Mus musculus: one gene and its partners. The protein of the gene in region 1 purifies or fractionates together with the protein of each later gene. This does not show direct contact. Links are inferred from orthologs where the notes say so. Each region holds a gene or a part of one and is shown in the gene's direction. Other genes may lie near its edges. The genes, in order: Fbxl4, Bnip3l and Bnip3.

The links.
Region 2: the proteins of Fbxl4 (region 1) and Bnip3l purify together in Homo sapiens (affinity purification with western blotting; 4 studies listed by BioGRID, with this or other methods). This does not show direct contact. The link is inferred for Mus musculus from reciprocal best matches to the Homo sapiens genes FBXL4 and BNIP3L.
Region 3: the proteins of Fbxl4 (region 1) and Bnip3 purify together in Homo sapiens (affinity purification with western blotting; 4 studies listed by BioGRID, with this or other methods). This does not show direct contact. The link is inferred for Mus musculus from reciprocal best matches to the Homo sapiens genes FBXL4 and BNIP3.

What each region holds. Positions count from the first base shown.
Region 1 is NC_000070.6:22,356,096-22,360,366, forward strand, and holds the start of Fbxl4 (F-box/LRR-repeat protein 4), read left to right. Parts: upstream 1-1,447; 5' UTR 1,448-1,586; intron 1,587-4,271. UniProt on the Homo sapiens protein: Substrate-recognition component of the mitochondria-localized SCF-FBXL4 ubiquitin E3 ligase complex that plays a role in the restriction of mitophagy by controlling the degradation of BNIP3 and NIX mitophagy receptors.
Region 2 is NC_000080.6:66,988,301-66,991,944, reverse strand, and holds part of Bnip3l (BCL2/adenovirus E1B 19 kDa protein-interacting protein 3-like), read left to right. Parts: intron 1-2,435; coding exon 2,436-2,539; intron 2,540-2,660; coding exon 2,661-2,810; intron 2,811-3,644.
Region 3 is NC_000073.6:138,906,571-138,910,674, reverse strand, and holds the start of Bnip3 (BCL2/adenovirus E1B 19 kDa protein-interacting protein 3), read left to right. Parts: upstream 1-1,168; 5' UTR 1,169-1,281; coding exon 1,282-1,312; intron 1,313-4,104. UniProt on the Homo sapiens protein: Apoptosis-inducing protein that can overcome BCL2 suppression. May play a role in repartitioning calcium between the two major intracellular calcium stores in association with BCL2.

The sequences.
Region 1 (4,271 bases):
ATGAACAGATTGAGATGACAGACAAGCTGACCTCACAGCTGCCCTTGGTGTTAAAGAGATGGAATGCTCTTCCTGCTGGCCTTGAACTCACTGACATCTGCCTGCCTCTGCCCCCCAATGGCTGGGATTAAAGACATGCTCCACCACACCCAGTTCTAACCCTCTCCTTTTAGAACCTAGCTCACCAGATAGTGTCACAGTTAAGAATGGAAGATGGAAATTGAGTTTGAAGTTTTTGATTAAAATTTCACTTTTGTGTAGATTACACAGCATAGCATAATTGTTTCACTTCATGTGGTGGTCTGGATGAGATACTTTTATATGCTGGGGCCTTTCAATATGTGGTTCCTAGTTGGTCTGTTTGGGGAGGTGGAGGAGGTATGGCTTTGCTGATGGAAGTCAGTCATTGGGCCTGGCTTTGACAGATCAAAGACTTACCTGTTTCGAGTTGGTTCTTTGTACTTCGTTGTTTGCAGTTGGAGATGTGAGCTCTTAGTTGTTTGTGCCACCATACCTGGTGCTTGCTGCAGTGCTCCGGGTATGTAAGTGATTCTTAACCATCTGGAATCCCAAGTCTCATTGTTTTGGCTGTGATGTTTTGTTACAGCGATGGAAAAGAAAGTAACATAAAATTAACAAGTATTCTTTCTATTTTGCTTCTTCAAGAGAAAATTGGAAATCATGAGTGGTTCAGCATATTATTGAGTTTCCCATAAATAGGGCTGGAGAGACAGCTCTTTCAGAGACCCTGTTTGGTTCCCAGAATCCACTTCTGACAGCTCACAAATGCCTGTAATTTCAGCTCCAGGATATCTGATCTCTTCTGCCTTCAATGGCACCTGAACACATGTGTGCGCATGAACAGCACACACACACACACACACACACACACACAGATTAATAAAAAATTAAAATAAATCTTAAAGTTTTTTTTTATTAATGGAAACCTTGTGGAAAGACAGATGTAACGACAACTGAAGAAAGGTTCATTTGAAAAGAAATGGAGACTTAAGGGAGACCCGTGACAGCATCTTCATCACAGGTGGTCAGGTGAATATGCGCCTGCAGGGAAGGTTTGTTTCTGAGGGCTGAAGAATTTGTATATTAATTGGTGGATTGTGCCTGCTGAGAACTTTTACTGCTCTAGAAGTTCTCTTTCTAGTGCTCCTGTGCTGAAGTGCTTTTTTGCATAATACTTGGGTTGAGTCACCAAGTCCGAAGAAGCTCCAGCAGAACTACATTACTTCTGGAGGGCTATCTTTGGCAGGATGAGTAGCGTAAAGGTTCTGCAACCCGCTGCCAGTCCCCGAGCAAACAGGCCATTTCTAAAGCACCACTGGCCTGGCTAATCAGCTCAAACAACCAGGGCAATCCGGCAGCAGCCAGCCCGACCCTGGCCCCGCCCTTCGCCAGGCCCCGCCCCGCCTCCGGCCCCGCCCCGCCTCCCGGCCTCGGTCTTCCTTCCGGGTCGCGCTGGGCCGGGCCCGCCGCCGCGGCAGCAGCACGGGATACTGGGAGCCGTCTCCTGCTGCCCACGCTGCGGGCTTGCGGCGAAGCTCTGTTCGCCCAGTTCCGGACCCTGCAGGGTACGGCGCTTTCTTCCTTCCTCCCTCTTCAAGGTCTCGACGTTCCCCCCTCGGCGTGGGCGGGGCCGGGCGCGCGCCACTCTGGGGAGCGCGGGGCGGAGGCTCTGGGCCCACGCGTGCCTATGGTGCTGCGCCGCTGTGCTGGCGGAGACCGGACGTGGGTGCCGCCGCCTCCTGTCGCGGCTCTCTTGGGCCTGGCACGCTCACGGCGAGCTGCGGACGCTGGGCCTGCAGGCTGCGCAGCCCTGACTTCCCTCTCACGCGGGAAGGTTTCTGTCCAGGCAGGCTCGAGCCAGGAGATGCCAGGCTGCAGCCTTCTTTCCATCGTCTGGGGTGGGCCCAGCCACTTGTCAACTATGTTTGGCGATGGGGTTGGTTCTGCATTTCATCGGCTTCCCAAGTGCTCTTAGTCCCAGAGCTGTCAGCAGTCAGTTCTACTTGTAATCCACAAAGGGTCAGGAAGTTAGCTGGCTGTGGCCCACTGGTCTGCTCTGTTGGGAGCCACCTGCTCCCTCTGCTTCCTGCGCACACTCTGAGGAGATCCTAAGGCAGGCACACTGCTTATCTTGCCCACTCTCTCGTCCTACACGATTAATGAGTACAGGGTCCCTCGCACTCCTCTGTCTTGGAGTAAGTCTTGGGTGGAAGTGAAGTCTCATCTAGTGGCGCTAAGAATTAGACAGTCTTGAGTAGTCATTGAATTCCATTATTTCCAGACTTGCGTACCAATTTGAAAAATTCCTGTCCCACGTTTTGGCTCTTTTGAACCCTATTCCGTCTTTGTTTTCAAAGTCAGAGAGGTCAGGGCCTAAGACCTGGTTGTTTGTGGTCCTGTTGCTGCTGTCTTACAGTGTTGTTTACAGCTGATGTTTTGCTTTCAAATATGGTCGTCGAATCTTTACCAAGCCACTGCCCAGTCTTCTCAGCTTGGAAGCGTTACTATTTGCCGTCTTCGCTGTTCTAAGTTTGGAGTCCTCTTGGGTCTTTCATAATATGGATTGTGACTAACCCCCACCCCCCTCCGTGCACGTGCCCCATGGTTTGTTGTCTTACTCAACTTTGGTGTGAGATAAATAATGCTGTGCCTTCTTGGTTATTACTGGCCAATGACTTCATCCCAATTTGTCGAGTTCTGTTCTTTTTCTTCCTGTCAAGTGCTGGTATATGGTGAACACTTGGCGCCCGTGTATTCTTGAGACCTTCTGAACTGCTAGCAGTGACCTACTTCCTGTGGTAATGCCATGCTGCTCTTGTTTCTCCAGCTTTACAGTGTGTGGCGATTCAAACCTTGTCTGACATATCATGAACATCAGTGGATATTTTTGTAATGAACATTTAGTTGAGGGCAGGTTGGATTCCTTTTGTGTTTGAGTGTTGAGGTAGAGCTCTCAATGTAGCCTTGGCTGGGCTCTCTTAGAGGTCTTGTTGGCCCTGGCCCCTGAGAGATGGGGCTAAAGGTATGAAGAACTGCACTGAGTTGAATTCCCTTGTGTCTCGCCCCTCCCTCTAAAATGCCTTGCCAGTTTTTGAAATTTGTAAATTTGCCTTTCCTTTGGTCAGGTGAATTAATGGCCAAATTCTTAAATAAGCTGTCTTTTTGCTCACCCCGTTTACCCTGTCGAGTTGTTCCACATAGAAACTGATTCCCAGTCGCACGTCTGTTGACTTGGGATCTTCTCTTCGTGTGTGCAGTGTCCTGTTGGCCGTTATCAGTGATAACATAACAACATTCTATACCTGCTTTCAGCCCAGGCAAGCTCAATGCTCAAGCTCTCAGATATCCCTTTGAGTTTCACCATTCCAACAAGGTATCACAAACAGAATCAAATTCCTGTGCTGATGTAGTAGATGTGTAAATAATAATCACTGCTTAGTACTTTGCTCTTTCCAGATAGAAATGTGTATACGTGTGTTTCATATAGTGTGTGGTATAGCTTTCTGCAGCTTCTACTTAGTAGTCATCACTGGTGAATGTGTCTTTACATAGATGCACATGCCATCTTACCTTTCAAAGGCTTTTTTGGCTCATTATTTTAGGAGCAACCTAATACTGAGCCAATTCTCTCTTAGTATTTAGAACACTACACATTTATTTCTATTGTATGTGAAATTACTAGGCCATTTCTGCATGTGAATAGCTGTTTCTTATTTCTTATGTCTCTTTGCTTGGTGTCAGTTAGTCTTAGTTTGAAGATATTAAGTGGAAAATTCCAAGGGTAAATAGTTTGTAAGTTTTTAAATCCTGTGCTATTCTGAGTAGTGTGATGAAAGTGCATCCCTTCCTGATCTGTGAACTCTATCTTTTTCTACTCCAGCTACATATGTCCATGTATACGTATGTCTAGTCCATATGCCCATTACATAGTAAGTAACAGACCTGGCTGTCAGATCAACTGTGTTCAAGCAACTTTTTTTTTTTTTAATTTAATGTTGCCAAATTTGGATCAAGAGTACTGACTTCAGAAGTCCAAGCACGCCAAAGAGAAGCCAGCCATTAAGTACTTCCCTTATGAGTACGTATGTATGTATGGGAGTGCATATGTCTAGAAAGAATCATAATCTACCTAGCATTCTCTGCTCTCCATGGACCACAGTGGGATTTCAAAACATCTCCTGGTGATTGAGGGCCATTATTGTATATATTTGCATATTTGTTTCTTTTCTTGGTGCAAATGATTACATTGT
Region 2 (3,644 bases), on another chromosome or scaffold:
TGTAAGATAAGGACTGTGAGGTGGTGAAGACAGTTGACTGGAAGCATGTGTCCAGGGAAGAGCAAAGCATGAGTCCTGTGTGGTTAGATGAGGGGCCCTTTTGTCATATTCTTTAGTCACAGGAAGATGGCTTAAAATCTCAAAATGAACCAAGCATAGTGTTAAGGTTTATTGCAGTTTCTGGACTCAGGAGGCTGAGAATCATGAGATCTATAGGGCAGCCTAGGCTCTAAAGAATGTTTGAGGCTGTCTCACCATCCCCTCTCCAAAACTCTGGGATTGACAAATTTCAGACAATAAAAGAATGTAGAATCATGTTAATATTAGAGTTTAAGGTTAGAAATGTGTTTGTAGACTAAAATAACTATATGACTCCAATGGTAACTTTGCTTTATTCCCGTGGAGGAAATCTCATCGTATTCGAAAATTCAGAGCACAAATCTCTCTGTTTGTACTCTGAAAAGAATAAAATATTAACTGGTTAAAAAATACCTAAGCTAAACCAGAAAGCAGGCATTCTGGGAGGCCAAAGGAGGAACTAAGAACAAACTACCATCTGGCTAGAGTGCAGTTACTGAGGCAAAACTCTTGCCTAACATGTGGGAGGCCATGGGTTTAAGTCTCCAGCATTGCTGAAACCAAACCAAAAGAACAGGGAACCAGCAAGACAGCCTGAGTTCCACCCCACATTGAAGCCCCAGCACCCACATGGTGGAAGGAGTAAGTCAGCTTTTACCTGTTGACCTGTGGCTTCTACATGTCATAAATAAACAAACAAAAAATGAAAACAAAAGAATCTCCTATAGGGGCTGGTGAGGTGGCTCAGCGGTTAAGAACACTGGCTGCTCTTCCAGAGGTCTTGAGTTCAATTCCCAGAAACTACATGGTGGCTCACAACCATCCGTAATGAGATCCAATGCCCTCTTCTGGTGTGACTGAAGACAGTGACAGTGTACTCACATAAAATAAATAAATCTTAAAAAAAAAAAAAAAGAAGAACCTATAGTAGTCTGAAAACTCACAAATGTTGTGCACACATGCTGCTCAGTGCTTGCAGCATGACTGCTGATTGGCTTCTGCCTGAGGATGATCTCAGGGTTGCTCCACAGAGCCAGCTCATGATTCTGAGTAAGCTCAGTGCCTGCTGGGAAAAGCTCTGTCTTAAATGCTGCATTGTGTTAGTTGGTGGAATTTGCCAACTTCAGCAGAACTAGATAAGGACCGTGCTGACAAAGGGACGCAAACATCCCCTGAGCTTTTGGCTTGGATTTGGTAGTAAAGGGGTGATGTGTAGAGCCAGGCTCACACTCCCAGACAGCTGAGTCCCGAGGAACTGGGGCTATGGGGAAAGCGTCCTGTGAAGAGGCCAGGTGGCTTCAGCTGTCAGTCAGAATCAGAGTTTTGGGGCTCTGGTTTGGAGTCACAGCCTCACATTCCTTTGAAACTAAATAAATACAACTAATGTGTCATTTTTAGGAATTTTTCATCTCTCCCTTTCTGTTAAAAGAGTTTTCCAGACATGATAGCCCAAGTCTATTATCCCAGCAGTTGAGATCAAAGGCCAGCCTGGCCCCATATTGAATTCCAGGTCAGCCTAGGCTACAGAATGAGGTACTGTCTCAGAGAAACAAAAACAAGAAAAGGCATGTGGAAATGTAATGGTTTTTTGTTTGTTTATTTGTTTGTTTGTTTTTTTCTGGCCTGAAAGCTTAGGTTATCATTAGCAATAAAAAGAATATTTTTCATTTATTGCAATAGATGTTAACTTCTGGCTCACTTCAAAATAGCTTATTCCAGAAAAACTTGACTAATATGTTTTCAAAATCTTGAGAAATATTCATCTTTAAAAAAAAATCTTTCAGAGAGTAAGAAACCTGGGCCTTTGGAGCAATTTGCCTGGGTTAGAAAACAGTAGTCTTCCCCTTTAGTTACGAGGCCCTCAGCAAGGCACACACGCCCTGTCCTCATTTGTAGAGTGGAATGCAGCAGTTTCTGTTTGGAATTGACCATGGTAAAGTTTAATGAGTGACATTGGCTTTAGTAGATGCTGGTCTCAGGTGGTTGGCAGCCTCATGATTTACCACATCCCTTTGCTAACTTCCTCACAGATTTAATTTGTTCCCATCTCCTTTTTGGTATGTTTATTTTAAATGCAGTTGGGAATATGTACAGCATAGGAAGTTTAATGTTGAGAAGGACACAGTGAAACACTACGTGTGCATCCTCGGGTTCAACAGCACCAAGGCCACAGCATTGCCACCCCTGCAGAGGACTTTTCCAGGGTTACAGTCTACTTCAGTTTTAGAAAACAGCTTGTTTCCTCCATTAAAATCACCAATACACAACTTTGTATTTAGTTTGTTTTTTTATTAAAAAGAATTGTTCTTTTCTGTGTTTCTTTTGTTCCTTTCTTCTCACTGTTTAATTCTTTTTAGTCAGAAGAAGAAGTTGTAGAAGGAGAAAAGGAAGTTGAGGCTTTGAAGAAAAGTGCAGACTGGGTATCAGACTGGTCCAGTAGACCCGAAAACATCCCACCCAAGTAAGTTACTGCATGTGTCTGGGCGGGCGGTGTGATTTCTGTGCTCATGTGGAGGGGCTTGCTCAGGCCCGGCATCTGCAGCACTTGTGGTCTGATTCCAGCCTCTGAACTTCTTCCCCAGAGAGTTCCATTTCAGACACCCTAAACGTGCTGCGTCTCTAAGCATGAGGAAGAGTGGAGCCATGAAGAAAGGGGGCATTTTCTCTGCAGAGTTCCTAAAAGTTTTCATCCCATCTCTCTTCCTTTCTCATGTGCTGGCCTTGGGGCTCGGGTAAGTACCCTGATAGAGTCATCATGTGACTTAATGGGACTTAATGGGACTAGGCAACAAGGCAGTCAAAAGAAAGGAGCCATCATTATTTATCTTTTATGAGTTATTTAAAATTTGGCTAATTGTGAGTAATGTATAAATTATTAAATATAAATGTAGGAGTAAATGAAAAATGCTACCCTCCCTCCCCCAGATGGTAAAACACCATTGTGGAGCATGATTCTGGAATACACTGGTAGGCTGCTATGGGTACCGTCTTTGTCTTTTAAACTTTGTGGCATTTATTCAAAAGTCAGCCAGTATTTCCCTTAATTCATTAACTTGTGGCATGTCTTTTCAATTAATAGCTTCCCCCCCCCCCCGATTTTAATATTTTAAGAAAACATACTTCTGAAATATTTTAGTTTATAAACATTAGCTTAATTAATATTAGTTTCAAGTCCTACCTACTATGCTCTGAGCATGCCCAGTGAGTCTTTTTCTGTGTCTGATGCATGGAAAGTGGATCATTGCTGATCTTGCTATGAGTGGCTCAGCATAGCAGAGGGAAGTGCCTGCTCTGGAGCATGGGCAGGTGTGCATCTTCCACTGTCTCTCCTGTAGAGGATCTGTTCCTCCAGACAGGGCCAGTATTCACAGACAGCTGAGTGAGAGGCGCTTGTGGAGGAAACAGGATAGGAGAGTGTGGAGCTTGGGAGGACTCGTAATACCTGCCAACTATTCAGTTCATTTACCACAAAAGCTTGGCTTGGGGGCCTTGCAGTATTTCTTGCTTTCATGAATCTTCAAGCTTTGTTGTTGCTTTAATTAAATTTAACTCTTACCACAGAAAAT
Region 3 (4,104 bases), on another chromosome or scaffold:
CAGTCTGGTGACATGGCTCAGCTGCAGTGAACTTGCATGTGCAAGGCCCTCGTATAACCTTAGCACTCCAAACAAAACAAACGGAAATCAAGGCTGCATAGCTATAATCCCAGCTCTCAGGAGGCGAAAGCAGTAGGATCGGAAATTCAAGGTTAGCTTTTGCTACACAGCCAATTCAAAGCCAGCCTCGGTTATGACATTGTCTGGGAAAAAACAAAACACCAAATGAAGCTGCTTCTAGTGACCTGACCCACTGCTACTAAGATAGCTTCTTTTGAGGTTCACAAGCCCCTTCTCTATCCCAGAACTGTATCAAGAGGGAATTCCAACCTCCAAGTACAGAGAAGCTACTGGGTAGGTTACAGGGAGGATGCAGAATCCTCAAAACTGGCCCTCCAAAGGTCTCTCCAACCGTTCCTGTCCAAAAATGCCGTCCTTTCTCGCATGCAGCATACCACAGCACTACCCAACTCGCCATTGATGCTGCAGTAGAATACTGGCAAATTTTTTGTTTTGCTTTGTTGTAAACAGCTTCATACAGTGCAGCCCAGCCTGGCCACGAACCAGGGCTGGGACTAGAGTTATACATAAGCACTCCCGGACTGCATTTTTCTTAAAGATGCAACCTAAAAAACTATCTGTAAGCGTGCATAGAGACAGCGAGACCATGTGTGCTCCCATTGCTGGCGCTCGCAGGTTCCGGAGGAGATTGGGGAACTATGGGTCAACCGCGAGCAGGAGGGGCAAACTCAGCACCCAAGGCCAGACGCCCAAAAACCTGGCCGCACGTCCTCATGCCACGCCTATCTCGGAGCCCGCCCACGTCTGCCCACCTCCAGCCTGGCTTCAAGACCCGCCTCTTGGCCTCTGCAATGCGCGCACCTCGGAGTCCCAAGGCTCAGACCTCGAGCCCCGCCCCCAGACTCTTCCCTACCCGCCTAGGTCCCAGTTACTCCAGCCTCAGGCACAGCCCCCGGTCCACTTCTGCATTAGACCTTAAAAACAGCCGCCCTCCCGCGCACTCCTGCCTCAGGCCCCGCCCATGCCGGCGCACGCGCCGCACGTGCCACACGCTCCCCCGCGTTCCTCCCCCACCTGCAGGCCCCGCCCCCCAGCCAATGGGCTCCGCCGCCGCGTGCGTCCCGCCCCGCCCCGCCCCTTGTCCCTCAGTCCAGTGTCGCCTGGCCTCAGAACTGAGCGGCGCAGGCTGCCCCTGCTACCTCTCGGTGACCGCCTCCCAGGCCTGTCGCAGTTGGGTTCGGGCTCCTTTGCCGAGCCACCATGTCGCAGAGCGGGGAGGAGAACCTGCAGGGTGAGGCAGTGGGCCGAGAGGGGCCGCGGAGGCGGTAGGGTCGCGGGCTGGGGTGCGGTGAGTGGAGGCCGCGATGCAGTTCGGTGCAGCCGGGGCTGGGTGGTGAGCCTCGGGGCATCTTACAGACAGTACCTTCACAGGCAGGCCGGGTCTTTCTTTCCTGCTCTGTTCTTCACACTGTCATAGTTCTGTATTTTCAGACTCTGTAGGTCAGGGGAGCCTCGAACTCTGCGATCCTCCTTCCTCAGCTTCCCGAGTAGCTCAGATTTCAGGCCCTTGGCGTCCCCTTGTTCAGAGTTGCTTAAGTGAGTTAGAGGTTGCAGTTGAATTTTCAGTGCTTTGATTGAAGTCATTAATATTTATGACTGTAGTGCCTTTCACTTTTCCTACTTGGTACTGGGGACAGAACCAGATCTGAACGTGCTGGGTAAGTGCTCATTTCCCGAGCAACACTACCAGTTTTCATTTTATTGCTTTAAGACATACTGGTCTTGAACTTGTGATCCTCCTGGTTCAGCCTCTAGAGTAGCTGGAATTTGGAATTAACAGGCTTTGCCGCTGTGTCCCCTCTCCCCCAATCTTTACCCCTGGCTTGCTTTGTTGCCACTTCCTGATGGAAGAGGAGGATACAGGGTTTCAGACCTCTGTCAGGTTTTAGAGTTAAGAGGTGGGATAGCCGCACAGTGGTGGCACAAACCTTTTATCCCAGCAATCAGGAGGCAGAGGCAGGGGGATTTCTGTAAATTCGAGGCCAACCTGGTCTACAGAGTGAATTTCAGGACAGCCAAGTCTACAAAGAGAAAAACAGAGAGGGGGTATGGCTGGAGGTAGTGTGGAAGAGAGCTACAACAGCTCAAAAGGAGGGTAAAGTGCTTATAATTTAGTTCAGTAGGCTCACTGCAAGCAGTGAAGTAGATTGTAGGTTAAAATGGAAGTGAGGCTGGGTGTGGTGACACACCTAAAATCCCATCATGGGGTGGGTGAAGTTGAGTCTTGACAAATTCCAGGTTAGCCTGGACTACACAGTCGTACCAGGCTAGTTCGGGGCTCTGTAGCCAGACCCTGTCTCACAAATAACAGAAAGGCTCTCCCAGCATCAGCCTTTACAGACTGTTAGCACTGCGCAGACAGCTGCTAGTTTTGCAAGGCCAGCCTGGGTGCTATGTGCCATTGTCCATTTCTGAGAGCTACCTGGTGGGCCTGAGTTGAGTCTGAGTTGAGTCTCAGGCCCTGAGACTGGAGGAGGATCCTGTTGACCTTTGTACTCTCTGAAGCAAGAGTTCACCAGGTAAAACGCATGTCAGTAAACGTGAGAGAGAGGCTTTCCAAACCTTTAAAATGAATGCTTTAGTGTCAACTCCCCTCCCCCCCCCCAGGCAGGGTCTCACTCTCAGTGAACTCCCAGAGATCTGCCTGCCTCCACCTCCCTAGTGCTGGGATTAAAGGTGTGGGCCACAGTACCCACTTTAGTGTGAAGACGTGGTTTCTCTGTATAGCTCTGGCTGTCCTAGAACTTGTGTAGACTATGCTGTCCAGAGATTCTGTGTCCTGGAGTACTGGAATAGGGTAACTCAGAGCAGTGTTGTGTTAAAAGAGTTTTTAAAAAGCTTGCATTCAGAGACACTGAGTTAGCTGAATTTATTACCCTAAACGAGATTTTAGTAGGCAGAATTTAATCAGCCTAACACATTACAGAATCTGTATTTTCAAACTACAGCCACATTAAAAAAAAAATCTCGTAATTCAGGTTTTATTCCCTAATGTCAAACGTCAAACAGTTGGAATTTTTTGATTGAGAAGTTTTTTTGTCTTTTCTCTTAAGAGATCAAGTGATGTTTTGTGTAAAGTCACTTTCGTAGCTAGTTGAAATTTGATTTCTGACACTATGCTGTTAAGACTTCATCTAGGGGAGTTTCTGAGTATTCCTGAGAGGTCTCGGTTAACATACACTCAGCTGACATGCACGCCAGACTGCTGAGTCATTGGCAGAAGGGGGTTGTCATTAGACGTTTCAAGGGTTAAGGTTTTGTGTTTTTCTCTTTTACTTATTCTATAAAAAGATGGTTACGGTGTGGAAACTCAGGCTAAGGATTTGGGCCATTGTTTGGGGTGTACGTGCAGCTCAGCACTGGCTCACTGTCTAGCTCAGGGTAGGAGGGGTCACTTAGTCACATGGGTTATCTCAGCTGCCCTATGAAATGTGAATCCCAGCTTGGAGTCAGAGCTGAGGCAGCTCCTCTGTTTGCCGCTTCGTGTTTACTTCTGAGGCTGAGAGCTGTGGAAGCCTTGTTGGTAGGTGGGACAGCAAATATTCCCCATAGCAACCTCTGGGACCAGCGTTACTGAAGGCGTTACCCACAACACTGATTGGTTCTGTTCCCTTTTTACCTCTGCTCCATCTTATTGAAAGGTGTTTAGGAGCAGGGCTTTTCTGTATGACTTCTGGCATGCTGGAGGAGAGATAAGTATTGTGATATTTCTGTGCCTTGGTTGCTGCCCTTTCCTGAAAGGTCCACTGTATAGATTTAATAAGTCTTCACTTAGCTAGCTGCCCTGTCTGCAACTGGTTCTGATGAGTGGTTCTGTTGGTTATAGGCAAACTATCAAGGACAGACTTGCATGAAGAGAAAACATGGATACACTGAAGGGGTTTCTCCTTGGCTCTAGCCTCTGTAAATAGTCCTAGTGAGATCCAGAGGTTAAGTGGAACTAAGGATGGCTACTTCAGTTAAGGACCTGGCACAGACTGCTCAGCACCAGAGGGGTACCTGGAGCCACCTGACTCAGGATGT